Mus musculus: one gene and its partners. The protein of the gene in region 4 purifies or fractionates together with the protein of the main gene of each other region. This does not show direct contact. Links are inferred from orthologs where the notes say so. Each region holds a gene or a part of one and is shown on either strand. Other genes may lie near its edges. The genes, in order: Anapc2, Anapc7, Anapc13, Cdc26, Anapc4, Anapc1 and Anapc16.

Evidence for each region.
Region 1: the proteins of Cdc26 (region 4) and Anapc2 purify together in Homo sapiens (co-immunoprecipitation; 7 studies listed by BioGRID and IntAct, with this or other methods). This does not show direct contact. The link is inferred for Mus musculus from reciprocal best matches to the Homo sapiens genes CDC26 and ANAPC2.
Region 2: the proteins of Cdc26 (region 4) and Anapc7 purify together in Homo sapiens (affinity purification with mass spectrometry; 5 studies listed by BioGRID and IntAct, with this or other methods). This does not show direct contact. The link is inferred for Mus musculus from reciprocal best matches to the Homo sapiens genes CDC26 and ANAPC7.
Region 3: the proteins of Cdc26 (region 4) and Anapc13 purify together in Homo sapiens (affinity purification with mass spectrometry; 4 studies listed by BioGRID and IntAct, counting the BioPlex papers as one, with this or other methods). This does not show direct contact. The link is inferred for Mus musculus from reciprocal best matches to the Homo sapiens genes CDC26 and ANAPC13.
Region 5: the proteins of Cdc26 (region 4) and Anapc4 purify together in Homo sapiens (affinity purification with mass spectrometry; 11 studies listed by BioGRID and IntAct, with this or other methods). This does not show direct contact. The link is inferred for Mus musculus from reciprocal best matches to the Homo sapiens genes CDC26 and ANAPC4.
Region 6: the proteins of Cdc26 (region 4) and Anapc1 purify together in Homo sapiens (co-immunoprecipitation; 6 studies listed by BioGRID and IntAct, with this or other methods). This does not show direct contact. The link is inferred for Mus musculus from reciprocal best matches to the Homo sapiens genes CDC26 and ANAPC1.
Region 7: the proteins of Cdc26 (region 4) and Anapc16 purify together in Homo sapiens (co-immunoprecipitation; 5 studies listed by BioGRID and IntAct, with this or other methods). This does not show direct contact. The link is inferred for Mus musculus from reciprocal best matches to the Homo sapiens genes CDC26 and ANAPC16.

What each region holds. Positions count from the first base shown.
Region 1 is NC_000068.7:25,282,424-25,286,684, reverse strand, and holds the end of Anapc2 (anaphase-promoting complex subunit 2), read right to left. Parts: intron 2,124-4,261; coding exon 1,994-2,123; intron 1,749-1,993; coding exon 1,513-1,748; intron 1,435-1,512; coding exon 1,222-1,434; 3' UTR 769-1,221; downstream 1-768. UniProt on the Homo sapiens protein: Together with the RING-H2 protein ANAPC11, constitutes the catalytic component of the anaphase promoting complex/cyclosome (APC/C), a cell cycle-regulated E3 ubiquitin ligase that controls progression through mitosis and the G1 phase of the cell cycle.
Region 2 is NC_000071.6:122,425,313-122,429,122, reverse strand, and holds part of Anapc7 (anaphase-promoting complex subunit 7), read right to left. Parts: intron 993-3,810; coding exon 806-992; intron 1-805. UniProt on the Homo sapiens protein: Component of the anaphase promoting complex/cyclosome (APC/C), a cell cycle-regulated E3 ubiquitin ligase that controls progression through mitosis and the G1 phase of the cell cycle.
Region 3 is NC_000075.6:102,624,815-102,629,095, reverse strand, and holds the start of Anapc13 (anaphase-promoting complex subunit 13), read right to left. Parts: upstream 2,801-4,281; 5' UTR 2,750-2,800; exon of another isoform or gene 2,532-2,749; intron 2,497-2,531; exon of another isoform or gene 2,409-2,496; intron 2,370-2,408; exon of another isoform or gene 2,178-2,369; intron 1-2,177. UniProt on the Homo sapiens protein: Component of the anaphase promoting complex/cyclosome (APC/C), a cell cycle-regulated E3 ubiquitin ligase that controls progression through mitosis and the G1 phase of the cell cycle.
Region 4 is NC_000070.6:62,405,692-62,410,148, forward strand, and holds the start of Cdc26 (anaphase-promoting complex subunit CDC26), read right to left. Parts: upstream 2,935-4,457; 5' UTR 2,861-2,934; intron 1-2,860. Other genes in the region: Prpf4 (U4/U6 small nuclear ribonucleoprotein Prp4), read left to right, coding at 3,184-3,210, 3,884-4,061. UniProt on the Homo sapiens protein: Component of the anaphase promoting complex/cyclosome (APC/C), a cell cycle-regulated E3 ubiquitin ligase that controls progression through mitosis and the G1 phase of the cell cycle.
Region 5 is NC_000071.6:52,857,925-52,861,734, reverse strand, and holds part of Anapc4 (anaphase-promoting complex subunit 4), read right to left. Parts: intron 2,623-3,810; coding exon 2,529-2,622; intron 493-2,528; coding exon 395-492; intron 1-394. UniProt on the Homo sapiens protein: Component of the anaphase promoting complex/cyclosome (APC/C), a cell cycle-regulated E3 ubiquitin ligase that controls progression through mitosis and the G1 phase of the cell cycle.
Region 6 is NC_000068.7:128,663,133-128,666,942, forward strand, and holds part of Anapc1 (anaphase-promoting complex subunit 1), read right to left. Parts: intron 3,574-3,810; coding exon 3,433-3,573; intron 2,377-3,432; coding exon 2,316-2,376; intron 931-2,315; coding exon 743-930; intron 1-742. UniProt on the Homo sapiens protein: Component of the anaphase promoting complex/cyclosome (APC/C), a cell cycle-regulated E3 ubiquitin ligase that controls progression through mitosis and the G1 phase of the cell cycle.
Region 7 is NC_000076.6:59,992,975-59,996,784, reverse strand, and holds part of Anapc16 (anaphase-promoting complex subunit 16), read left to right. Parts: intron 1-170; coding exon of another isoform or gene 171-195; coding exon 196-337; intron 338-3,810. UniProt on the Homo sapiens protein: Component of the anaphase promoting complex/cyclosome (APC/C), a cell cycle-regulated E3 ubiquitin ligase that controls progression through mitosis and the G1 phase of the cell cycle.

The DNA of each region.
Region 1 (4,261 bases), on a different chromosome or scaffold from region 4:
GCCTAATTCCTGCCTCCACCCTTTAAAATCTGAGGCAAGATGATCTCTGTAGAACAGGAAGGGTGGAGTGAGACCTCTGAGGGGGACTACCGCTCAGAACCCACACCAGAGCTAGTAGCTGATAATGAGAGGTGGTGGTTCTGCAGCACAGACTGGGCTTGAGGGGACTGGGAAGGGACTAGGGGTAGTGGCAGCAGCCCAAGCTAGGTGTGGCTTGTGGCCTGGGATCCACCTTGGGCAGGATCTGGGTGTGTAAGCAATGATTCCAAAGGGCTTTTGTTTCCTTTGAGGATGGCACCTCAGGTCAGTATTTCCTGACTGAAAACAGCTGTTCTGGGACAGGGACACAGGGGCCCATGCTGTGTCCCACCAGGTTCTGTTGTCTTAAGGCCAACCTGTCCTCAACAGGTGTCTGGGCACAGCCTGCCTACAAGGGTGGCTGAGCCCTATCTTGGAGGAAAAGGATTATTAAACTGTGTCCTGGGTTCTCTTCTTGTCCCCACCCTCTTCCTGTACTTCTGACAGCATCTCTGGGGGACCTGAAAGAGTCTGAGTACATACTTGTAAGCTCCAAGAAGTGTGGCCAGTAGAGAAAAGAGGACAAAGGACTAATACGCCCCTGGCCCCCAGCATATGTCCTTAGGCTGACCTTGACTGCTAGACACAGGTGTGCACTTGACTCAGGTTGCCTCACCTGAGGATCTCATCGAGTGCAAATGTACTAACAGCACAAAGCCTTACATTGATTCCACAGATGCCACACACAAGTGAAGGACCAAGAGTTCCTTTTAATGGCCACAAAAGCAGGATGGGGCCAAAGTCTAACTCGGGAGACTCTGAGCTGCCAACCCTATTCACTCTTGCTGAAACAGGTCCCAGCATATTCTAAGACAGGCTACAGGAGATAGCTTTAGGGTAATCTATTGCCCAAACATACAAGCTTAGGCTGGGGTAAGCCTGGCTTCTTGGGTGGCTCAGTTACCTGCTGCTGGGAATCCAGGCCCTGTAGGGTTATGGTTGGGTGGCTATAGAGGGCAAACCTGTTTGTATTCATGGGATCCAACAAAATACATGAAAGGATGAGCCAATATGCTTTAATTTGTTCTGTGGGTGTTAGGCAGGGAACGGGCAGGGACTGGGCACAGGAACATGGAAATAGAAGCTGTCCATCTAGGGGTTGCACAGGCATGAATGCTGTAGTCAGAGCCTGGAAAGGGAACATCAGTTGGAATTCTTAGGCAGGCGGTAGACACCTGCAGAATAGATGAGCTGCTGGTCTCGGACCTTCTTCTGCAAGTAGCCCTGCAGCTCCTGCAGGTCAATCTCAGCCAGCGCAGGGCCAGTCATTACAAACATCCGGAGCATGCTGTAGATACGCTCCAGAGAGAGGCTCTCTAGGTTGGTTAACATGGCCTGGATGTATGCCCAGAAGAGCTAGGAACAGAAGCCAGGCATGGTTAGTTGTCCACTTATTTGGCCCACCCCAGCCCAATGTGGAAATGGCCAACGTACCAGTAGCTCCTCTTCCTTCTGGTCAGCCTGGGAGGCCATGCCTGAGTCACTCTCATCATCACTGTCAATCAGCACCATGTTGTCCCTATCCTGAGGCCGCTCTTCCTCAATGACAGAGAAAGTGCCTGGAGGTTCCTCCCGCAGCACACCCTGTTGCAGCCACACTGACATGCGTCTTCGAAGCAGTGCCACAGGCATCTTCACCACCTTGCTCAGTTCCTCCAGGGTCCAGCTGGCTGTGTGCAGAGCCATAGGATGCAGGTACCGAAGATTATACCTGCTCCAATACCTGTTAGCTAGCTGGACCCCCAGACGCACGTGGATTGTCCTGTGTAACTCATAGGTAAAAAGAATGGTTGCTACCCCTACACTCTGCTGGGGGCTGGGGAATCTGGCATGTTACCTTATAGCCCATCAGATTATAGCAATAGCCCCAAGGTAGTGTAGTCAAAGCAGAGCAGATATGGTTCTAGGGACTCACCTTGGTTCTGGAAATACAGCAAGACCACTGCCTGTACTGGGGTCACCGCAACAGACAGGGTGCGGTCAGCAAGCTCCACATCCATTGTCACCAGGCCCAGGGTGTGCTTCCAACTAAGTGTCCGCATAGCCTGGGCAGGAATCATCAATAACAGTCCAGTGGGTTCCAGGCAGGTCCAGATGAACAAGGCATAGGCTCATATGCCATGCTACCAAGCATGGAATGGCTCTTGCACCAATGCCATTCCTGGCAGGTAGGTAGTCAACAGCAAGACCAGGAGACCTGATTGGAGTCCCTGGCTCCTGAACAACCATGATATAACTGCTGATAAATTGTGTCCCTCTCATGTCTCAGTACCTTGGAACATGAGTTATTTGCAAAGAGAGTTAATGTAGATGTAATTAGTTAAGAAGAGGTCATCCTGGAGTAGGGTAGCCCTTAAGGCACAGAAGGGAGTGGTTATGAGAGGCATAAAGTATGCTGACATATCAAAAGCTGGGAAAGCAAAAGAGTAGTTTTTTAGAGGCAACAGGAGGAGCCCAGTCCTGCCAACACCCCAACACTGGACTTCTATTTCCCAGAACTAAAACATTTTTCTGTTGTTTAAAACCACTCAGCCTGTGACTTTGTCTTCTGTCTGTCTGTCTGTCTGTCTGTCTGTAAGACAGGGTTTCTCTGTGTAGCCCTGTTAAAAAGGTCATAATAAGTGAAGCTTCTGCTGTATAGATGGCACATGCCTTTAATCCCAGCACTTGGGAGGCAGAGGCAGGTGGAGCTCTGTGAGTTCGAGGCCAGCCTGGTCTACAGAGTGAGTTCCAGAATAGCCAGGGCTACACAGAGAAGCCCTGTCTAAAACAGAAAAAAAAAAAAAAAAAAAAAGGATGATTCTGGTTCTATGTAGGGATACTGCTCTAAAAACACCTAAAATATAGAAGTTGTTTGTACAATGGGGAAGCACATGAAGGTTAAACCTTAGGTTGCTACAGTTAACTGGCACGACATGGAAGATGCAGATGATGCTGGTGAAGGCTCAAGGAAGGATAAGAGCTATTGCCCATACTATAGAGAATAATGCTGGTAGAGATGAGGGCACTGAGAGGACCTGCTGCTGAGAGCTCAGATAGAAACGATGAGCAAACACTAGACACTGGGGGAGCTGGCAGAGAACTACCAGCCTGTAGCTAGATGTTTGCTGACATGAGTGTGATTTGTAGATCCACCCGGAACACGTAGCATATCCAGGAACATACCCCTTCCCTCACTTTCTTTTCTTCATTTTTTAAATAAAAGACAGAGCCTTCCTCTATAGCTGAATTGCCTTGAAACTTGTTATATACAACACGCTAGCCTCAAACTAGCAGTGCTGCTGCTGTGCCTGCCTCCAAGGCTGGGGTGACAGGCATCACCAGCACACTTGGCTCAGGATCACAGTCACTTGATAAATTGGATATTGTACACTTCATGGAAAGCACCAAGATTTTGGGTGTTATGTCAGCAGCAATGCTGACAGTCTGAATGCAGTGACAGAGGTACAGGAGAGTGCACACAGGGCTGCCAGGAAAGCCAAGGGCACCACCAAGGCCTGAGCCACACTGTCAACTCTGCTTTCCGTGGTTCAGATTTGCTTTAGGCTCATGATCCTTCTTGCTGCCTTTGGGAACACCCTCTTCTGAACTGGGCTTGTTTTAACAATGTGCTTTGGATCAAAACAACCTCACAGCATCAAGGTGGAGACGAAACCTACTTCAGATGGATACGGTTTTTTTTTTTTTGGGGGGGGTCCTCACTATATAGCTAGGCTATATAATGAACCACCACCCTTCTGCTTTAGTCTCCTGAGTGCTAGGATCATAGATAGGCACCACCCATCTAGATTAGAAGAGATTTTTAAGAACTGATGCTGAAGTGGTTAATTTTGGAGATATTGGCTAATTTTCTCATGTAAAGACTATTAGTTTTAGAACCACAGGCTGCCATGGGCCAAACTGTATCTCTTCAAAGAGATAGTAAGTAAAGCCCAGGACACTGACTCTAGTGACACTGTAAGTCCTATCTCCAGGGTCCTTAATCTGATATAACTAGTATCCCAAGAAGAGGGAAACAGACATAGAGAAAACTTGGACATAAAGATATGCATTTACCACCTGGGCAGTGGTGGCGCACGCCTTTAATCCCAGCACTCAGGAGGCAGAGGCAGGCGGATTTCTGAGTTGGAGGTCAGCCTGGTCTATAGAGTGAGTTCCAAGACAGCCAGGGCTACACAGAGAA
Region 2 (3,810 bases), on a different chromosome or scaffold from region 4:
AGAGACAACCTGTCTCAAAAAAACAAAAAAAAAAAAGAAAGAAAAAAAAAGAAATGAGAATAAAACCCGGCAGTGGTGGCACACATGTTTAATTGTAGCACTCAGGAGGAAAAGGCAGGGGGATCTCTATGAGTTGGAGAGACCAAGCTCACCTAACCAGGACACAAAGCACCCCAGCAGCATCAGCTGTGAGGGACAGGAGAACCCCAGTATTCATTAATACAAAGATGAAAGAAAAGCAGCACTCGGGAACCATGGAATATCATGTGATAATAACAAAGAATATAGAACTGTTTCATTCTATAACCAACCAGCTCAGTGCTGAAACAAGTACTTCAATCTTGTCTCTTAGTATGTGCATACATACATATACATATACGTATACGCGCTGGAGATGGCTCAGCAGTTGAGAGCACTGGCTGCTCTTCCAGAGGTTCTGAGTTCAATTCCCAGCAACCACATGGTGGCTCACAACCATCTGGAATGGGATTTGATGCCCTCTTCTGGTGTGTCCGAAGATAGTGACAGTGTACTTAAATATATAAAACAAATAACGTACATTTCCTTTAACAAGTAAATAAATAAAAAAAAAACCCAAATAAATAAATCAATAAATATATACACATAGACAGTCACAGGCACGTCAGACGGTGGTGGCCACCCTTTCACGTGGCTCTCTGAATTTGAGGCTAGCCTGGTCTACTTCCAAGACAGCCAAAGCTACATAGAGAAACTCTGCCCCCCAAAAACACAATAAATGACTGACTGAGTGACTGACTGAGTGACTGAGTCTGCTCTTACTCACCTGACTCTGTGGAGTAGATGCAGAATTCCCAGTGGAAGGCCGCACTTTGGAAGTCTTACTTAAGGCTTTCTTCTGCTGTAAAGCCATGGCGTACTTACTCACAGCATTGCGGTACTCCTTATCGTGAAACAGAGAGTCTGCATGATACACCAAGAGCTGGTACTTCTGCGACGGGGAAAACAGCTCACTAGAACATAAAGGAAACAAGTCCTACATGGGTTATTTTGAAAATTAGAAAGAGCACCTTGGTGTACCTAAGCCTACCACAAAAACCTTCTATCACGCCAGCTTGCAAAAAAACATGAATACAGCCGGGCGTGGTGGTGCACACCTTTAATCCCAGCACTGAGGAGGCAGAGGCAGGCGGATTTCTGAGTTCAAGGCCAGCCTGGTCTACAAAGTGAGTTCCAGAGAAACCCTGTCTCGAAAAACCAAAAAGAAAAAAAAATATTCCTTAAATTTAAGTGGCTTAATGAGAGGCACAGCATTTGAACACCATGCAAATATGGCCAAAACATCTAAAACACTATCTTACTGTATTGTGGTTTTGTACAATGTGTGTTTTCTTACTACAGAAGCTAATGATACCTATAAATCAATACAATGAACAAATGGAGAACACAGGCTTTCCTTCCCATTTTTACATCCTTCCATCTTTTCTGGCTTTTTGAGACAGCAGCTCACCTGTAGTCCAGGTAGCCCTGAACTTACAGCAATCTTCCTGCTTCTGCCTTGGAAGTGATGGGTCACAGAATGGACCGCTATGCCTACTCAATAAGACCTCTTAATTTAGTACTGTTTTACATACACCTCTATTATCTTAGGTTAACATCAAATTTTATGGATAATATTGCCAAAGGATAGCAATAATTACAAAAAAGCTAGAGACTCTAGAAAGAAAATTTACCACTCTGAATTATTTCATTGAGAAACTCAACAAAACAGGCTCCTGCAAACTTCAAATACCAAAGAAAAAAGCCAGTAAGAGAACACAATTGGAAAGCCAGAATGGCAGAGTGATAACGGATTAGTCTATCTTAGAGTCATTACTGTGATTTATATGCGTATGTGCACAGGTGCACGCTGCTGCCCAGAAGAGAAGGTTGGACACACACCCCCCTAGGAACTTGACATGCATGCTAAGAAATTCAAGTCCCCTCAAGAGCAGCAAACACTCTTAACTATGGCGCCATTTCATCTCCCCAGGCCCTAAAGGCTCGTTCAATTCTACAGACACAAAGCAAGCTTGCCAGCACTAGAAGCACACTGTCACCTGGACTCTCAGGTGTCTAAAGTCACTGTGTGGGAATCCCATGCTTCAAACAGTCCTCTGCGCTCTCTCTCTATCTCTCTCTGTGTGTGTGTGTGTGTGTGTGTGTGTGCGCGATGGAGCCCAAAGCCTCACAAAGGCTAGGCAAGCCTATCACAGAACTTCAACCTCTAACCTCAAAAAGATGCAATAGTCCTTATAAGCAAGGTTAATGCCGAGACACTGCTTTATTTCCGTCCTGCATGGGGTACCAAGCCAAGGTCTCTGCATGTTAGGTAAGCAGTCCACCCACAGCTTATCGGCAACCCTGGTTACCACTCTTGTGTTTATACCTCCAGTCCCACTCCTTCCCAAATTAAGTAATGGTATATATTTTCCTCTGAAAGGTAAAGAACAGACTGAGACAAGGAAGTCTATAAAAAGGTACTTATTTCATGCTATTATTATTTTGTTTGGGCTTTTTGCTTGTTTCTTTGTTTGTTTGTTTGGAGTCAGGGTCTTACTGTATAGCTCTGGCTGTCCTGGAACTCACTCTATAGACCAGGCTGGCCTCAAACTCGGAGATCCACCTGCCTCTGCCTTCTGAGTGCTGGGATTAAAGGCGTGTGCCATCATGCCTGGCCCAAGTATTTTAAACACAGGGGAAGCCATATGTGGTGGTGTAGATCTTTAATTCACTGAGATTTGGGAGACAGAAGCAGGAAGATCTTTGAGTTCAAAGCCAACTTGGTCTACGTAGCCAGTTCCAGAACAGTTAAGACTATAGACACTGTCTCAAACAAACAAAATGGGAGACAATTTTTTTAAAAAACCAAACAACTAGGTACCACTACCAGGTAGGGTCATATATTCCTGCAATCCTAGCATATGGAAGCAGAGGTAGGAGGACCAGGCATTCAGAAAGCTATCCTTGGGGTCTGGAGAGATGGCTCAGAGGTTAAGAGCTCTGACTGCTCTTCCTGAGGTCCTGAGTTCAATTCCCAACTACCACATGATGGCTCACAACCATCTGTAATGAGATCTGATGTCTTCTGCTGGGGTGTCTGACGACAGCTACAGTGTACTTACATATAATAAATAACAAATCTTTAAAAAAAAAAAGAAAAAGCTATGCTTGGCTACATAATCAATCCAACATCAGCCTGAGTTATGACCCTCTCTCAAAAGGGAAGTTAGAGGGGCTCAGCAGTTAAGAGCACAGGAATTTTGCAGAGGATCCAAGTCTAAATTCCAGCACATACATCGGGCAGTTTACAGCTCTTTGTAACTCCAGCTTACACCTCCAAGGAATCTGATGCCCTCTTCTGGCCTCCAAATGCACCAGGCACATAAACATAAAAACCAAAGTAATTCCAAGTCTATTAGCAGTCAGTCCCGCAGTCAGTCCCTAATGTGACTTCATTTGGTAATCTATAGTACCTTCTTAAAAAATAAGCTGTATTATTATGTATGTGTACTTAGGAACCTGTGTACAGGTACATACAACAAAATCATTCAAAAGAGTCAAATGGGCCGGGCGTGGTGGCACACGCCTTTGATCCCAGCACTGGGGGGGTGGGGGGGTGGGGGGGCAGAGGCAGGTGGTTTTCTGAGTTTGAGGCCAGCCTGGTCTACAGAGTGAGTTCCAGGACACCCAGGGCTACACAGAGAAACCCTGTCTCGAAAAACCAAAAAAAAAAAAAAAAAAAAAAAAGTCAAATGGGATAGATGGAGTCCATAATCTCAGAACTTGAAG
Region 3 (4,281 bases), on a different chromosome or scaffold from region 4:
CCTCTGGGCGTCCTCCTTTTTGTTTGTTTTTTTGAGAGTCTCAAACTCTCTATAGCCAAAAGCAGCCTTAAGCTTCCAATCTTCCTGCCTCCACCAATGGGATTGCAGGCCTGTGCCACCGGCTCTGGTTACAGAACCAGGGTGTTGTGTATACTACAGTTAAGCACACTGCCAACCGACCTCCATCCCCAGCTGAGGGGGCCCTGCAGGAGTCCAGGGAGGGAAGCAAACTGTCAGGTGAGAATGAAAACTGGGTTCAGACTGACTTTATCAGTCTTGCTTAGACTTGGGGGGTCTGATGCTAGGCGGTTTACTCCGAACAAACTTAAACATAGTATGATTTGGAAGAAAGTTTCCTGGTGTAATAACAGTTTCTGGTGCACAGGGAGGTGCAATTACATTGAAACTCGACTTAGGGTATGTTATTTCTTCCAAGACGATGGGTTCTAGAGATAGGTTACCTGTACTAGCTTAAGGGTCTAAGGAAGGTCATACAATAACATAGACATCATCTGGTCTCTTAGCTACTTCTGGAGCTTAGGGAACCCCTGCTTATCAGGGTCATTTAAATTACTAGCCACCCTCGGTCCTGGTTGTAGGTTGATGTGGCCTGGCCCAACAGATAACGCAGATCACCAGGCTGTCAATCACTTCCAATTCCCAGCTTTGTGGACTGAACAAGTTTTATATCTCTCACATTGGAAGAACAATCCTGCATGCTTAACATCTCGGCCTCCCTGGATATGTGAGGGTGCAAGAACTTTTGTGCTGTGATCCCAACACCCAGCCTACTTCCTTCTTGAAAGAAACAATGTATATGTGTAAGTTCGTGTGGAAGTCAAAGGACAACTTGGGGATTTTGGTTCTCTTCTTCCACCAGGCGGGTCCCAGAGATTGTACTCAGGTTGCCAGGCTTGGCAGCAAGCGCCTTTAAGCCACTAAACCATCTTGCTGGCTCTCTTCAGTGCCTGGTCCAAGTGCTCAGGATGCTTGCTAAGCTCCCAGACCACAGATTGTTCCACATTTTTCTCCTGAAACTGTTGCAGTCTAACTCAGTCATCAAGCAGTGCTTTTGGGTTTCTGGCTTCCAAGTTTGTTCCTTATCACAAACACACCCTACTGTGCTCCCTGCCACAAAGTGGCAACCCAAGGAAAGGTCTTGTGAGGATTAGTACCAGTGGCTCTCTCAGGAACTGTTCTGTTTCCGAGAGAAGGGAGACTCATACAAGAAACAAACTGTGCTACGCGGCTATGTGCTTGCCTCCAACAGAATAAAGGCAAGCAAGCTAGCGCTATCTACCTAGTCTGTAGGAGGGAAAGGGCTTTTTACTTTAAAAAATTAAACAACCTGGGGCCTGGGAGGAGGTTCAGTGGAGTGAAGTGCTTGCTGTGCAAGCAAAAAGACCTGAATTCAGATTCCTGGCACCCGCAGAAAAAGCCTGGCACGATGGCACACTTGTGTTCTCTGGGAAGCTGCCAGGCCAGGCAGTTTAACTGAATCAGAAAGCTCCAGGTTTAAGATTCAAAGTAATAAAGGAAGACACTGATGTTGACCTCTGGCCTCTACACTCATCTACAACTCCACCTGTACGCAGAAATCTCCCCCACCACCACAACTTTCGTGTACGCGTATACACACACACACACACTGAAGCTCCCTCTGCCACGTTAAAACCAGGTGATAACTTAGCAGTTTTCCTCAGACATAACCAGACCCTAGCTAGTGGATAACGCAAAGCCAGCTGAAGGGCCACTTCTAATCACCCCTCAGGGTTTGACAAGCCTTTTGTTTTTGTAGCTGAGCCTTGGGCTGCATTTCACACCTTCTGGTGCTGACTTTCCCAGTCCCTATGGATTGCACCTTTTTCTAAAGTGCTCTGACTTTCTCTCCAGCTTTTCAGCAGGCTCTGTCCTTGAATGCTTTGCTGCTTGCCTCAAATGATCTATGAAACAAGTCAGGTCAGCTTTGTGACTGACTGGCAGGGTACTACTGTCTCCAGCGGTAATGTAAGGATACCCAGTCTTTCCACAAGTTCGCCTCAATACTTTGTAACATGACTCTCTTCTACATGCTTAGAAACTAGCACGCTTTTCACCCACCCCCGTCCCTCATCACTTATGCTTGGCCGTCCTTCCAAACACATCTATTTTCCTGGGTCAGGTGCTCGGGTGCTCACCCTTTACGTAAACAGAAAGTTCCCCCGCTCCGGATACCAGATAATATCAAACTCTCAGCTCTCAGATTGTTTCCTTTAGACCCCAGGCTGAGTGCAGTCCCAAGGGTCCATTCCTTCACCAGTCCCCTAGATCTCTGGGCACAATACGTGACAACAGGAGGAAAGCTTGTCACATTGCCCGGATATCTCTTTCTAGACATTAGATGCGTACGTCCTATGAGACATACACACCTTTCATGCACACAGCTTTGTAAATGTATTTCTAAGCTACGAGCACGGCGCCTACACTAAAATGGCCCTCGGAGGCCACCATCCTGGGACACTACAGTCACCCGCTGCAGCGACTTCCGGTTCGAGGGGTGGGAGGATACTACATGCGGAAGTGCAAGGGGGGAGGTCGAGCGTCGCCATGGGGGCTCCGTTCCACTCCGCACAGCGTGCAGTAAAGAAGTGGCTCTGAAGCTCGGTTGAAAGTACCGGCCCGCGCCTCTGGAAGCGGTAGACGCCGGAGTTCGAGGGCGAACGCTTGGCCACCCTCGGAAACCCGGGCCGCGGGCGCGAAAAACCCTTACCCACTGCGCGCGCGTCGGCTTCCTCCCGGCCCCGCCCTTCTTCTGGGTCACGTGACTCGCGGCGCTCTCAAGCCCCGGATGTGGGTGAGTCCAAGCGCTGCGGCAGGGGGCGGGACGGACAGCGATTTGTTGTGACTTGCGCGCATCCCCGGCCGGAGGAACGGCGGGCAGGCCCGGGGGCGCGCTCCGCCGGAGGCGCGCTCTGCCGGGGGCGCGCTCTGTAACCGACCGCATGCCCCAAAGACGGGCGAGCTGCGGCTAACTGTGGTGCGGTCTCGGCCCTGGCCACGGTGGTGCCGCTAGGCTCCAGGCCTCATGGCCCGCGGCCGCAGCTCGTTGCGGCCCACCTGCCGCGGGGCTTTCCAATGCCGGGTTGCGGCTGCCCGGTCGTCGCGCCCCTGGGTTCCTCCTCCTCCCTATGGGACTCTGGGCTGGCCGGCCAGGTGCTTCGGCCTGCGGGAGGGCGGGCTGCGGGCTGTGGGCTGCATGGCTCCCGGGAAGGGACCCGGCTGCTGCTGCTGCCGCCGGTGTAGGACCAGGCCTTAGCGTTAGCCGCCCAGCGGGAAGCCCGCAGGGTTCCTTGGTGATGTTAGTATGAGAGGTGCGGAAATGTGGCGGGAACCCCTGATGGCAGGGGAATTGCAGATGGCTTCACGCTTTCAAGTCAAGCATAGGAAACAAGATTGGTGGAGTGAAAGTTTGGAAAGGGGAATTCCACAACAGCGCTTTCACGCGGAGACACTTGACAGTGAATGGGCTTTTGTCCTTTACAAAATCGTGGAGTTAGTGCATTCTGATGTCAGACCTAGTTTTCATTTACAGACTGTAGACTTGTTGCCAAAAGTGCTCCCCATTCTCCCCAACTAGCGCTGGCTCTCCTTTGTAGCTATGATCTGGAACTTGCAGTGTAGACCAGGCTGGCCTCAAACTCAGAGATGGGCCTACCTATGTCTCCTAATTAAGGATCCGCGCCACCTCGCCTGGCTTTCTTGAGGCCAATTTAGAGTTTCAAAAATGTATTACTTTATTATAGCTCTTTGTACAACTCGAATATTTGTATTTTATATTTTGTATGTAAGTCAGAGATCAATGGCTATAGTTATCTTTAGCTTTTTACACTTTTTTTTTTTGTTTTGTTTTTCGAGACAGGGTTTCTCTGTGTAGCCCTGGCTGTTCTGGAACTCACTCTGTAGACCAGGCTGTCCTCGAACTCAGAAATCCGCCTGCCTCTGCCTCCCGAGTGCTGGGATTAAAGGCGTGCGCCACCACGCCCGGCTTTTACACTTATTCTTAAAGGCTGCAGCTTAACGATATGATGAAACGAATTATCTTATTTGGAATGCAGCGCCATTTTTAGGTTAATTTTTGTCCCGTGCTCTCTGTCTTTTACTGTGTCGTCCTCAGTGGTCAGTATAGTAAAGGAGGCTGCGAAACTAAAGAGGGTTAGAGACTTAAACCACAGACACATGTCCCTTTAAAATGTGTATATGCTGAAGTTTCAGAAACAATGGAGATATTGTTAATCATGCTGC
Region 4 (4,457 bases):
TGTGGCCATCAGTCATGTAAGGGCAATGCCCCAAGCCCCCCACCCCCAACATAGATGAGGCATCACTAACATCTCAGACCAAGACAAGAGGAAAAGAAACGTGACCACCATAGGATCAAGCCAGATCTCCATTCTAATGAGTTGCCTAAAGGCCTGGAGGGCATAAGCAATAAGCTTTCCTTCCCAGACACTCCTCCCTGCAAAATGTATTTAACCTCAGGCCCACCCTGAGAAGTGGGGGCATGATTTTATACATCCACTTTCCTCTATGACAATAAATGCCTTACTACTATGGACTGCCTCTTTTCATCGGGATCCACCATGGGGAGCCATGGAGAAGGCCTTCGACTATAGAGCCACTGTCTAGTCCTGTAGAAGGCCTTTCTGCACTCCCAGCCACCACTGCCCACCAAGCCCAAGCCCAAGCCTGCAGTCAAGCCAAGGACTCTCCCCGTGTGACCAGCCATTGTTCCCCTTCCCCCCACCACACACAGCCAGCCAGCTGCTCCCCCACTCCATTCTCAGCTCTTCTGGGGCTCCCAGCGGGGCCTGGATGTTGGAAAGCCTGAGAACCGACCACCCCAGCCTCATCACAAGCAGGCAGACCCCCAAACCAGCTCCCACTGTTCCATGCCTCAGACTGCCCGCTTTCCCACCAGCAATGTCCTGGGGCTTCCCTATGGCCCAGCACCAGCCCTGAGCTGGCATGAGGTAAGTGCAGTCAAACTCCCTGTGTCCTGCCTCCCCAAGCTGCAGAGCAGACTCAAGACCCACAACCCTACACTAACTTTTCTTAAGTTCTAGACTCTACCATTATTGGGTTTTTTTTTTTCACTTTAGTAACTAAAAATTTTTGCCTCTTAAAAAAATTATTTAATTATGTATTGGGTGTTGGTGAAAGCACACAATTCACAAGCATCGGTCAGAGGACAACATCTGGGGTCAGTTCTCTCCTTCTACCATGTGGGGCATCACACTTAGCACAGGTTCCTTTACCCACTAAACCGTCCCACATTCGCATTCTTTGTATTATTTTAATACAGACACCTTGGGAAACTTGAAAAATTATTCCAGTTTTATAAAGTTGAAGCAAACAGTTTAGTTAATATCAGAAGCCGGGCAGTAGTGACACACACCTTTAATCCCAGCACTCTGAAGTCAGAGGCAGGAGGATGTCTGTAAGTTTGAGGTCAGCCTGGTCTACAGAACATGTTCCAGGACAGCCAGGGCTACACAGAGAAACCCTTCTTGAAAAACAAAAAATGTGGGCTGGAGAGATGGCTCAGCAGTTATGAGCACTGATTGCTCTTCCAGATATCCTGAGTTCAAATCCAGCAACCACATAGTGGCTCACAACCATCCGTAATGAGATCTGACACCCTCTTCTGGTGTGTCTGAAGACAGCTACAGTGTACTTACATATAATAAATAAATAAATCTTTGGGCTGGAGCAAGCAGGGAGAGCGGGGCCTGAGCAAAAAAAAGAAAAACAAAAAACAAAACAAAACAAAAAAAAAGCTAAATCAGCATTCTATAAAAGTTACACATAGGGGCTGGAGAGATGGCTCAGTGGTTAAGAGCATTGACTGCTCTTCCAGAGGTCCTGAGTTCAATTCCCAGCAACCACATGGTGGCTCACAACCATCCGTAACAAGATCTGGCGCCCTCTTCTGGAGTGTCTGAAGACAGCTAGTGTACTTACATATAATAAATAATTTAAAAAAAAAAAAAAAAACAAAGTTACACTTAGACCACTAAAATAAAAAGCTAAATGATAGTGATCTACATGAAAGTTTTGCTATAGTGTGCATTCATAGAAATTATTATTGCGTGCATCCAGAACGAAACAAAACACTACAATGTATAGGAAACATTTACACTTCTCTCAGGAGGCTTAGCACAGCAAGGGGTGATCTAATCAAAACACTGGCCCGTGACATTTCAAAACTGCTTTATTCTATCAGATACTACTTTCTACCAGATCCTTACGTAGAGAAATGGAAGTCAGCTCCAAGGGGGAAAGGAAGAAACACTTAGAAAAACAACAACAACAACAATAATTCCCTACTTGCGAGGGAACTTTCTGAAAGCCTCACCACTAGAGAGCAATAATGAGTACGAGTTAAAAGCGCGGCTCGGCGGCTCGCGACCTGCCACGTTACTAATTCTACTACTACGGCTCCAGAACGACCTTTTCTCACCAGAATGTTTTTTGGTTTTTTTCGGGCTTGTACTCTTGTCCGTGACTGAGATGACTAAAACAGAATAAGCTCGTTGCGCGTAACTCGGCATTAGTAAGTCCTCGAAAAGGAAGTGCTCTTCTAATTGGAGTTGTTCGGGGCAGGGCCTTGAGTGTGGAAGTGAGTCTGTTCAGCTCGGCAAACGCGCATATTTTTGTAACCCCCACAACTTTCATGTAAGGATTTTTTTTTTAAAAAAAACCTTATCTCTGATGGCCTAACATTCATTGGAGCTACTACTGCTGATATGCTCTTTATCTGGAGCCTTCATGGACCCTTTATTTCAAAGAACACAGACAAAGAATAGGCTGTAGACAAGTAAACCCACAACAAACTAGGCCGCAGCTCCTCCACCACATCTCTATTTTAGCCTTAGAAGGTCTTAGAGTTTAATATCTTCTTGAAGCCCAAACTGATTACGTAGCCACCGAGTTACGAGGGGCCCCCGAAGGACTTCCGTCGTGGACAACAGTCCTCTTTCCCAGCTCCAAGGCTGCAGAAGTCTAGGGAGAGATTTCCATGGCAACACAGGCCTCAGCTTCGAAATGGCGGAAGGCCTCCCGAAGGATAACAGAGACCCTCGTTTTGTTCCAGATTATGGTTGCGATCCGCAAACCTACCTCTTTTCAGGCCTCTGCAGTTCCCCAGAACCTCAACTCCCACCATGACTCCATTGCTGCGCAGCCCAAACTACACCTCCCAGGCTGCTCTGCGCCTCTCTTCCCATGCTCCTCTTCTCCCGCGAGGTTGTGTAGCTCTGTAAGGCCACGCCCCTCGACTCCAGCCGACCTTTGGCAACTACCATTCCCAAGATACTTCGCACGTAGTACGTTTCTGATACGTTTCCGGCCAGTGACGCACTTCCACTTTGCTAGGCGCGCGGTTCCCGGTCTGAAAAGTAGAACGCGGATTTGGCTAGGGCCTCGCGTCTCCGCCGCCCGGCATGGCCTCCTCACGAGCCTCCTCCACGGTACGGAGCTCTGGATCTAAGCTCAGGCCTGCCCTAGAGAGGCCGGGGGTTCCCGTGGGAAAGGGCCGTTACCTTACGGGTCTGGGCCGAGGAGGAGGAAAGCTGAGGGACCCTAGTGTGGACCTTAGTAGCCTTTTCCTGATGTCTTCGTGTGCTGCAGCTCTCTTTGCACTGCTCTTACTTAAGTCCTGAGCAGAGACCACTCTTTCTGGCTGCTCCAAAACACGGTGCTTTGGAATCGGGTTGTGTCCTGACTTAAGCTGTCCGACTCGTACTTACTATGATGAGGCTTCCCAACTTGTAATCGGCTCTGAAAGTATTTGAAATGTGTATTCCAGTCACATCGTGACTTGGTGCACCTAGAGCCACCCTGATTGTTTAGGTTGTTTTTAGTGTCTGCCCAGCAGTGAGAAGTTATTTTCGTAAAACCGGAGATTGCTTTTCCAGTCGATTAAAGTAACGGGCCCCAAAACAACCAAGACACTTCAGGCAGAAATTGATTGGTCGTATTTGTGTGCCAAACTTAACAAGAGCCTTAACTCGCACAAAGTCAGTTTCGACTTTCTCCTCTAGTTTTGAGAGGAAAGAAGATGAAAGTGCAGCGTTAGCTTCATTCTTTTGGGAAGCATGGTTTGCTGGAACTAAACCTTAGTCCGGGTCTTTGATTTAACAGACAACCAAAACCAAAGCGCCTGACGATTTAGTTGCTCCCGTTGTGAAGAAACCACACATCTACTATGGAAGCTTGGAAGAGAAAGAGCGGGAACGCCTGGCCAAAGGAGAGTCTGGGATTTTGGGAAAAGAAGGACTCAAAGCCGGCATTGAAGCAGGAAATATTAATATAACATCCGGTAAGATGCAAATTGCAGGTCATTACCCCCACACACACACCCTTTTTTAAACAGTGCTGGGAATCCAACCCGGGTTTTTTTTTTTTTTTTTTTGCATGCTAGGCAACTGTTCTGCCACTGAGCCATACATTTCCATCTCCCCCCACCCCCCACAGTCTCTTACCTTTGACCTCAAACTCCTCCTGCCTCCTTCCTGGTCGCCACCATGTACTTTTGATGATTCAATATTCTGATGAACACCTTCCCAAACCACATAGTATTAGGTTTATAGGCCAAAACCTTCTATTGGTCTGGGGAGCTAGTTCAGGTGCCAAAAGCTTTTCTCTGTGACCATTAGGACCTGAGACTGAGCCCCAGAACCCATGTTTTTTTACTGGCTTGTTTTTCCTTTTTCTA
Region 5 (3,810 bases), on a different chromosome or scaffold from region 4:
TAAAAACATCCCTCTCATCAAACTTTGAGGTGAGAATCCTTAGTGACAGAATGGGAAGGAAGAGAGAGAGAATTCTGAGATTTAAAGGAGCTGGCAGTGGGGCACAGGAAGGCACACACTTCTCAGTAGCGTCTCCACACCTGCCAATCAACAGTAAAAACAAGACACAACAGCTCTGGAACTATAAAACTTCAAAACACTAAGTGTTCTTGGAACAAATCCCTAAAGACGTCAACACTTTCACTAGCCTACTTTTAAAATCTGTGTAAGGAATTAACAAGATGAACCATAAGAAACTACCCGTTTTAATAATGAAAAACAGTTATATACTATGGTCACTTATGTAAGTGGGCCAGACACTGCAGTTTTTCTCACTCCCACATTTCAGACTTACTGCTGGCTTTTGCAAACACTGATCAATAACGTTCTCCATCCGCCTTTTCACAAAATGCAATGATTTTCGAGGGTAATAAGGAAACAGCAAAGGACTTTCTGGATTCAAACAAAAACAGAAGCAAAGCAATAATTAGGAGAAAACATTGTTAGAACCAGCCCCGTGTAGCCCAGGGTGGAATTATGATACCTCCATAGACCTCATTCAGAATGACCACAGCATCTGCATCCTATCACTACCCATTCCAGCGGCTAAGCCCACCTCAGGACAGCTGGTGTGGTCCAGGCCCAGTGCACTCGTGCTGGTCTAACGGAGGAGCACACGGGGAACCACGAGCATGTAGTGAAGCACTGCTCACCCCGCTCTAGTCTTTGCTGTGGAATGATGACCAGGGGCATCCAGTGCTACCTTGAGAGTATAGCATTAACACAGAAACAAGAAATAAACTACTCTACACGAATATCTTTTTACTTCTTTAAAAGGCTACTTTATCAGTAGAAAGTGATGTAGAACTAGTGTTTTCCCCTTGCTGCTCTGTGAAATTCGTTTTTTTGTTTTGGTGTTTATTTTCAGTTACGTCCTCATGTGTGCTGGTGCTTGCAACACGTCCTCTAGAGCTGGACTTACAGGCAGCTGTGAACCTCTAGTGTGGGTGCTGGGAGTCAAAATGAGGTCTTCTGCAAGATGGAAGCAGTTCTTAACTGAACTACACCCCAACCCCTGAGAGACTGTTTCTGTTGTCAGTGCTGCTTACGACTCTATGAAGTAAGCACTGGATTCTCCAGTTTACAGAGCAAACAAAACATGCTTAGCAAGCTCACATAGCAGTCGGGTGTTAAAATGACTTCCCAGAGATCTCAGTGCTGAGTCTGACTCTGAAGCCCATTTCTCCATGGCTCTGCAGGCACCCCGACACACACCACCTTACACCTGGTATGCTGGCTAAAATGCATTTTAAACATTAGTCTGCTGTACTGGCTGGTTTTGTGTGTCAATCTGACACAAGCTGGAGTTATCACAGAGAAAGGAACCTCCCTTGAGGAAATGCCTCCATTAGATCCAGCTGTAAGGCATTTTCTCAATAGTGGTTACTCAGGGAGGGCCTATTGTGGGTGGTGCCATCCCTGAGCTGGTAGTCTTGGGTTCTATAAGAAAGCAGGCTGAGCAAGCCAGGGGAAGCAAGCCAGTAACATCCCTCCATGGCCTCTGCATCAGCTCCTGCTTCCTGACCTGCTTGACCTCCTTTGGTGATGAATTTGGAAGTATAAGCTGAATAAACCCTTTCCTCCCCAACTTGCTTCTTGGTCGTGATGTTTGTACAGGAATAGAAACCCTGACTAAGACAGCTATTAAGCATCAGAGAATGGTATGAGAGAACGGCATGTGATCTTGGTTTCCCACTCCTCCAACCCTTGGAATTTCCCAAGTGAACAAGGAGGCTCCTGGATGCCTCAGACGAGGGCACCTTGATCAGAAGCTTCACCTTCCAGCTCTATCTGCCAACCTCAGGAGAGAGTGCAGTGGAGGTGGGGTTCAATCACCAACTGCAAGGACGTAATCAATCACATCTATGTAATGAAGTCACTATTAAAGAAACCCATGTGCTGAGGCTTGCAGAGACTCCAGACTTGTGAACAGAGGGCTGTGAGGGCCTAGAACCTCTGGCTTCTCCTCCGTACCTACTCCATGAATCTCCTGCTTGACTGTCCTGTATTTATTTTTTAGTAAGCAAGTTAGGAAACCTGAATTTTTCTAAGTGGAAGAAAAGGAAGGTATAGAAACTCCCTGTGGACTGCCAGGCAGAGGCAGAGGCAACCTGGCCTGGCCTTGGGGCAGTCTGGTGGGGATACTGAGCCTTCACTCCTTCAGTGTCTGACACTCACTGAAGGTCTCTAGTGTCATACTGAAGTGATCATCAGAACCCTCGGATGGAATTGTGACTGACTGATGTCACTTGGTATCCCAATGTCTTAGACACATCATGAGAGTAGCACACCCCATTTGTTACTGTGCTGTCTCACACAATCAAAGACAATGGACATAAGAGCCACAACACTCAGCAGGATTCTAGCTCAACTGTCAACTGGTGACTAAGGATCTGGTCCCAGTTAACTACGAGGAAGTTCATGAGTACCTTTCAGGTGGGTGCTGTTTTGGAGGAAGTCATACCACTGGTTTCCTTCTGTGTTAGGGGGTGACACAAGGTCGTCGTCTTCATCTTTCAAATACTACAAGTAAGAGTGGACCGTTGCAATTCAGAAAAGAATAAAGCTCACCAAATCACTTTTTTTCTATTTAGAATGTTTTTGTGCTTTTGTGCTTTACTGACAAATTTTCTGCAAGTCCACTGTTTAAAAAGTGAAGACACAAAAGTCTGTTAAATGTCAAGAAAACAAACTTTAAACAGTTGGACGGTCAGAATGGTTACCATAGAGACCATAACTGAGGTTAAGTTTGTGCTTCATTTCCATGAGAAAATTTTAAATAGTTATAAATTAAGTGCCATCTAGCAATGTAACTAGCTGCTCCAAGAGTGTGCCCACAGACCCCTGCAAGTCATCAAGACACTCCAGGGATCTAACAGATCAACAGCAGATTTGTAACAATCCAAACACCGGTCTCTTGGCATTTGCACTGGTGGTGGGAAAAGCGAATCAAGGTAGCTGCCCAGCTGAGAAGGGCACACCAGCCACTATGGTCATAGTTTTGTTTATCTGTAAAGAGCCTTTATTTATTTTATTAAATCTCAACCTCTGAGTACAGATCTTGCACATCTGTGTGACAGAATGGGAAGAAGGCACATGGCACTTTGTGGCACACCAAATAGGAGAGTTACCCTAAGGAGAGGCATTTACACAAGTATTTTAGTTTTACCTAAGACAAGACACTTTTGAAGATTTGGATTGCATTTTTACTTGAAAAAGTGACTGGAGGAAAGACTGTAATTATTCATCTTGGATATTAGGAAGATGTTTTCTGGAAAATAAAACAAGCCTGTCACTCAGCCCAAGATATTTCATGCCAATGTAACATTTAACCTTCCAGCTAGGTATGATAGTCCAGACTTATGATCCCAGCAGGGGGACTGCAGGCAGCTTCAAGCTTTGTGAGAGCTCTCAGTAAGAAACAAACTTTAAAGCAAGAATTAAAAGTTAAGAAACTGCACCTGCCACTGCTATGCCTGACAGCTTCCCAGGATTAAAGAGTTCTCTGATTAAGCTAGTGACTAACAAAGTGTACCTTCTGGACAGACCTGCAATAAGATAGTAACACCTAGGAGATCTATAATCTAACAGAACCAATCTTTGCCAAAAACCACCACCACCACCACCACCACCACCACCACCACCACCACCACCAACAACAACAAAAACCACCAGATTTTTCAAAGCCACACATGGATAAAAGATTATTCT
Region 6 (3,810 bases), on a different chromosome or scaffold from region 4:
TGCTTCTTCCATTTTCCAACTCTTCCTCAGTGAAAAAAATAACTTTCATAATGAAGAAGAAAAAGCTTTTAAAAAAATGGCAGTACTAACACAAGATGAAAACACATAGGTGAATAGGTCTGAGTTTGGGGGACAAAGAGCTAAGTAATCCATAGCAACGTCTTCCGAGCCCCACGCTGAGTAACTGGAGAACGGTCAGGCACCCCCACCCTGAAGGCATCCGCTGGTGCATCATAAACCATTTGCACCTCCTGCAGAATGACGGACAGAAGGCTGGGCTTTACACCGCTACCAGCGTTCTAAAGCTAAGTCTGAGACCTCGCTGCTTCGCCTACCAACAAAACCAAGAGGTCTAGTTACGTCGTTTTACAAAGATAACTGAGAAACAGTCAAAATCAGGCAGCAGTAACACACAACTGCAATCCCAGCTTGGAAGGCAAAGTGGGGAATGTGGTGAATTCAAGACCAGCCTGGGCTACGTACACAGCAAGACCTTGACTTTAAAAAAGACAAAAAGAAAAGAAAAAAAGGTAAATTGTGCTTAAACAGATTTTTAAATAAAGACTCAAAACCTACTAAGTATTTGATTCATGCTATATAGGACAACAGGCCTTAGTATTATCCCGACATATTCTAAGGCTTACCTATTATTAAGTTTGTCAGGTTCTCTCAGTTATATAGCCAGTTATACAAGCACTGCATTTCTAACAGGATAATGAAGAAAACAACTGTAGTTACTTACACTTCGGGTCCATGCTAAGCGGTCTGTGTTATAACCCATCATGTTCAAGAGACAAATCACAAATAAACTCCACTCTGAGTGACAGCTGGGTCCTCCTGGAGCACTGTGCACATTGTACCACTTGACGAGCACCTGAATGGCTACTTCTTTTGGCAGGATGAACTTAATTGCTTGCAGACACGTTTGTACTATTAAAAGCAAATACTGATTTTAGTATGTACTGCCTGCCTCCTTTCAAATGGGAAGGTTCAAATTGCTACCATGTCCAGGCCAGCCAGGAAAAACAGAAACTATCACTAAGGACACTGGGCACAAACATTACCTCAACATTATCAATCACGTTAAACTAACTACTGAATTCAACAGGGCTCACAGAAAATCTGAAGATTAGCTGTCAGATCCCTAATTCGGGACTAGAAATAAAGTGAGCATATAGCCCAGTTCACCAGAAATAACCACTGCTCCAGGAAATAACTGTTCCCTTTTCACTCTCAAAACTGTCCTACTTTGAACAATCAAGCTTACTTCATAAAAAATATCTAATTTCAAAAAAAAAAAAAAGAAAAGAAAACAAAGCCGGGCGTGGTGGCGCACGCCTTTAATCCCAGCACAGAGGCAGAGGCAGGCAGATTTCTGAGTTCGAGGCCAGCCTGGTCTGTAGAGTGACTTCCAGGACAGCCAGGGCTACACAGAGAAACCCTGTCTCGAAAAAACCAAAAAACTAACAACAACAACAACAAAAATCTAATTTCTACACAAATAAATTTATATAAAATGTGGATTAAATCCTTCAGTAGATTCAACATGCAGCACAGGCACCTACTAACAGGAATGCTTAGGGATGCTACAAGCTATTCTCAATGAGTGAACATTCCTGTCAACTAACACTGCAACTCGTAATTTCTACACTGTCTTCCTCACCATGCCATAAGTAGGTTAGGGCGAACACTATCTAATATATACTGCTCTTAGTTATGGCACATCATTGGTGTGAAAATCAGCTACAGTGAAGAGAGCCAAGGGGACTGCCTGCTGTAAACAGCAGATTCACTATTGGGACAAAATGGCTCCAGACAGTCCAAGTTTTCCTTCTTGTTCCCTCCACACCACCACTGTCACTGACGCCATCTTTAGCAGCACAGCCTCATCAATCAAATGAATGAGCAGACACTGAGAAGCCTAGAAGCCTAGACTATAAATCTTAGAAAACCAAAACGGCATGCTTTAGCTGAAAACAAACAAGAATAAACCAGATGTTGCAAAGGACTCACTTCTACAAACAGAAACCGCAGGGTGGAGAGTTGGTTCAGCAGTCGAGAGCCCAGGCTGCTCTTGTAGAGAACCTGGGTTCAATTTCTAGCACCCATATAGCAACTCACAACCATTCTTAACTCTAGTCTGAGGGGACCTGACAGCCTCTTCTGGCCTCCACAGGTACTGCATTCAGACAACAACAACAACAACAAAAAAGAGACCAGAAACTGTTCCCATCAACAGTGTGGTAAACAAACTGAGACCAGAAACTGTCCCCATCAACAGTGTGGTAAACAAACTGAGACTGCACAGTACCTACCTAATTCCGAGGTGGCCACTTCAGGGATAGTGATCCGAACCATGGAGCCATTGCTCAGTTCCTAGTGAAAAGAATGGAAACAAACAAACAAACAAAAAAACCAACTGCTTAAGCATTCTAAGTTTTTAAAAGCTTTAAAAAAAAAAATGGCAATTTTTACTACTGTCTGCCAGTCAAGGCAAAATACAATAAAATGAACTGCTATACTTTTCAATGAGAATGAATGCTTCTAACTAAATATACATTTTTGTAAAATACTTTCAAAAATTCTTTTAATAATGCTTTTATCCAAACACTACGACACCAACATCATCAAAAGTGATTTTCTCCGAAAAGACAAAAACACAGCAATGTGAACTGACGGAGTAAATGTGCTTGTTTTAGATACACTTGTTATATACTCTTATTAGCTACTTGAGAATTTCATATAATGTCCTTTTATCATAGTCACCCCCAACTCCTCGCAGATCCTATTTCCCAACCCCCAACTTCCTGTCCTCTCTCCTTCTTCTTAACAACCCATCAAGCCCAATTTATGCTACCCATAAACTCTCAGATGTGGAAGAATCCACTGATGGATGGGTGGTCATCCTACCAGGGTCATATCCTTTAAGGAAACTGACCTTCCCTCCCCCAGAAACCATCCATTCCCAACAGCTCCTCAACTGGGGTTGGGTTCAGTAAATGTTTAATATAGAAATCTCAGAAAACAGAATTAAAGTAAAATAGTACAAAATAATAGCATGTTTTAAAAATGTCAAGATATCTGAAAGACAAAGTAACTCAGCAGTTAAAGCCTGGCACCCTGCATTCATTTCTTACAGCTCACATGAAGATGGAAGCAGAGAACCAACTCCAAAGTTGTGGCCATTCATGTCATAAACACATGAATGCATACCCACACACATATGCACACACATATACATGAATGCATACCCACACACATATGCACATCATAGAACAATAAATGTTTAAAATCATGAGAAATGTTCGTTTTCATTTCCACACATAATTTTACATCCTGCCAAATGTGAACTATCAGACAAATAACCCTTAGCCAGCTGCTCCACCCTCTGGAGGATCAGTCAGCTGCTCCACCCTCTGGAGGAGGACTTACTAGAGTGACTCTGTTATGAACAGGGTCTCGCACAGAATGAATGTAAGTTCCAAGCTGCTGGAATGTGCAATCCTCATTGTAGAGAGAATCATTAAGTTTTGAAGAATCCCTCAATTCTGGAACTGGAGACAACAGAACCACCTATAAAAAGTCACAATACAACACAGATGAAAAGACTTTGAGATTAAAGACAAGGAGCTGTATTCTTGCATATGGTTTGATGATTCCGATCATTCTGTTCCAATAATGACAGCCCTGCAGCAGACCAAGTTCTTCACAGAAAAAGCATCTGACTGACAGCATGCATACATATCACATTATGACATCCTTCAAATGTAGACCACTTGTCACCAGGCTTTCCAGTCTGGTGGGCACAGG
Region 7 (3,810 bases), on a different chromosome or scaffold from region 4:
TCTCTCCAGCCTGTTTCAAGTGATTTTTAAACATGATTTACTCTAAAACCTAAGTGACATTATAAGACTACCTAAGGCTGGAGGGTAGGGAAAGCTGACCCTACTGGGCCAGAATGAAGTGCGGTCACTCAGGCTTTATAAACTTGCCAATCGCTGTTTCTTTCCTCTAGTGAAGAGAGACTTCTACTGGAGGGAATGGCCGCCTCCTCGTCTTCGTCTTCAGCTGGTGGGGTCAGTGGAAGCTCTGTCACCGGATCTGGTTTCAGTGTGTCCGACCTTGCCCCACCTCGGAAAGCTCTGTTCACCTACCCGAAAGGAGCTGGAGAGATGTTAGAAGGTGATGTCTCTCATGCTGGGTTTCCTTCAGACCTTCAGTTCATGTAGAGTGTAAAGGACCTGGGGCTGGGGGGGGGGGGCTCAGATAGCTCCAAGCCAAAGCCCTTGAGTGACCTGACCAGGGTTGCCACTGGCACCACGTACCCTCTTGGTCTCCTGCAGGTTGCCTCATAACACCTGCTTGATGTATTTTCTCTTTTAGTAAGTATCTACAGATAGACTAATCCCACCAGAGAGGCCTAAAGGGGAAATAAAAGTCAATGTATTTACCTCTGTGAAGGTGACTCTCATGGACCACTGCCGGACATGGCTGTGTGACGGCATGGTTTTTATAGCACTGGAGATAGACTTGGTCTTATCACACAGACTGGCTGGCCAGAACTAGGTCACGGGCAGCAGCCATGAAATGGCATTAGTGACTGGAACGTCTCGGATTCATGTAAACTAGACTGGTAATTCATTGTAGGAGCGTAAGACTCATGTGACACATTTAACTTAAAATGAACATGTCTTGCTGGGCAGATGTATCTCTGAATTCCAAGCCAGCCTCATCTTCATAGTGAGTTCCAGCCAACTAGGGATGTACAATGAGACTCTCTTTTAAGAAAAGAAAAGAAAAAAAAAATTAAATGCACATGTCTGGGCCACTCTACAGATCCTGAATTAGCCTAGGACAGGAAACTGGTTTTTGACCAGTATCTGAGGCCTTCTCATGAAGGAGTCTTCTCATATTTTCAAAATACTGACAAAGAGCCAGGCGTGGTGGCACATTCCTTTAATCCCAGCACTTGGGAGGCAGAGGCAGGCAGATTTCTGAGTTCGAGGCCAGCCTGGTCTACAGAGTGAGTTCTAGAACAGCTAGGGCTATAAAGAGAAACCCTGTCTCAAAAAAACAAAAAAGAAAAAATACTGACAAGGAACCCATTAAGGACTCAAAATTTGCCGGGCGGTGGTGGCGCACGCCTTTAATCCCAGCACTTGGGGGGCAGAGGCAGGCGGATTTCTGAGTTTGAGGCCAGTCTGGTCTACAAAGTGAGTTCCAGGACAGCCAGGACTATACAGAGAAACCCTGTCTTGAAAGAAAAAAAAAAAAAAAAGAAAGAAAAAAGACTCAAAATTCACTGGAGTCAAGCATTTTTGTATTGAATTATAAGATGCTCTTTTTTGCTTTAAATCTTGCATATTTACATGCATATATTTTAAATTAATTGGGTGATATCTCTGAGAAAGGCACAAACTATTCAGGGACTGGCTTTCTAGGGAGATCATTATACATTTATATCAGGTACTTTTAAAAACCCAGTTTCAGGTTAAACTATGCCAAAGCAGTGTTGGGGATTGGATACCCAGTGGCCTCATGCATGGTAGGCAAGCAGGCACTCTTTGACCCGGCTGCATGCCTGGGAGACTCTAGTGCCATAAGGCTCTGGGGTCACTTGCATCTAATTGGTAGAGCAGCCACAGGTGCCGTGTGGTGTGGAAGGCGGTGTGTCAGGCATGTGTACTTTCTGCTTTGCCTTTTTGTTGGTCTCCGTTTGTGTGGATATTCAAGTTGGTATCATCAAGTCTGACTGGAAGTAGAATCTTTGTGTCTGTATTTGGCACTAAAAGTGGATTACAACTGTAGCTCTCTGCAGCAGCGATGTAGTTAAGGAGGCCAGCCACAAAACAAATGGCAAGTTGAAGGCATTTAAATTGCTTAACGAGCTTTATAGAACAGAGAAGAATCCGTGCTTAACACTGCTTCAAGAAAAAAGTGATTCAAGTCCGTCAGAAGCTCATGGTCTAACAGGCCTCTATCTAGACGTTCTCATTACCTCACTGAGGAGTCAATTGGATTCTATCGTATGGTGGATTTACCACGTGTAAATTCATGGTGTAGTTATGGCCTCTCTTAACCAGTTTCCCCAGTAATCTTAAAAGCTGCTTACAATGAAAGACAACTGACTTCGACAAAGCAAGTATCTGACATACTTTTGAATATCAAGAATACAGAAAAGGGGCTGTCTGGTAAAATACAGAAAAGATGGCTCTGCTGGCAAAAGGTACCTGGCACCATGCCTGACCGCCTAAGTATGACTTGTGGCTTTGATGGTGGGAGAAGAGGACTGACTCCCAAAAGTTGTCCTCTGACCTTCCCATGAGGACCCATACATAAGTAATAAATGCCTAGTTAAGAAAATGAAAACACGGGGCTGGTGAGATGGCTCAACAGATAAGAGCACCCGACTGTTCTTCTGAAGGTCCTGAGTTCAATTCCCAGCAACCACATGGTGGCTCACAACCATCCCTAACAAGATCTGGCGCCCTCTTCTGGAGTGTCTGAAGACAGCTACAGTGTACTTACATATAATAAATAAATAAATCTTTAAAAAAAAAAAAAAAAAAAAAAAAAAAAGAAAATGAAAACACCACCATTACCCTCACAGTATCTGCTGGGGCTTGGCTCTGCTTCAGCCTCCTCTCCTACACCACCTCCGACTTCCACACCTGTGCCTCATCTCCATGGATACTGAAGTCAACAGGTGCTCAGTCTCTTCTGTGAAGTGGCATGGTATTTGCATATGAGTTGTGTGTGTCCTTCCATGAAGCACTCCTAAATGTGAGTTGACAGGAATGTCAGATCTCGGGGTGACCCTGTTATAGGTTAATATGCCTGCATCAAAGCCTTTTCTTCTTCGTTGTTGAATTCATTTCGTTTTGAGTCTTGTGTAGTCCAGGCTTGACCTCTGACTCCTTGAGCTTCTTATTCTCCTCCTCCTGCCTCCCAAGTGCTGAGACTACAGACATAGATTATTTATTACTCTGTCTGCTTTATTCCGAGTTGGGGTCCAAGCCCAATGGTGCCAACTGAGCTACATCCCCAGCCCTGTTTTTTTTTTTTTTTTTTTACATTAGTGTAATGGAAGAGGAAAATAGAAACAGAGCACGCTGATGGAAAGCAAGAAACCCCAGTGCTCAGAAGGCTGAGATGGGAGAACTGTTCTGAGTGTGATGATAGCCTGAACTATCTAGAGACTGCCATGCCAGCCTGGGCACAGAGTGAGACTTTATTTTAAAAGGCAGGGGGAGGAGGGCAGGGGCAGCAGAGAGCAAAAGCATTTAAGAATCAAGGTTAGTGGGGCTGAAGAGATGGTTCAGTGGTTAAGCACACTGGCTGCTCTTCCAAAGGTCCTGAGTTCAATTCCCAGCAACATGGTGGCTCACAACCACCTGTAATGGAATCCGATGCCCTCTTCTGGTGTGCATGAAAACAGCACTTGCATATATAAAATAAAGAAATCCTTTAAAAAAAAAAACAAAGGAAGGAAGAAAGAGTCAAGGTTGGGTGTGGGTCATAATCCTAACAGGTTCAACTTGATGTTTGTTGCCTGCCCCTAAATCTAGGATATAAATCCAAACAACCTATGTTTAACCTCTGGGATGAACTTCTTGTTACATCTGCTGTCTGCTAAGAGCAGCATGCAGCAAGAT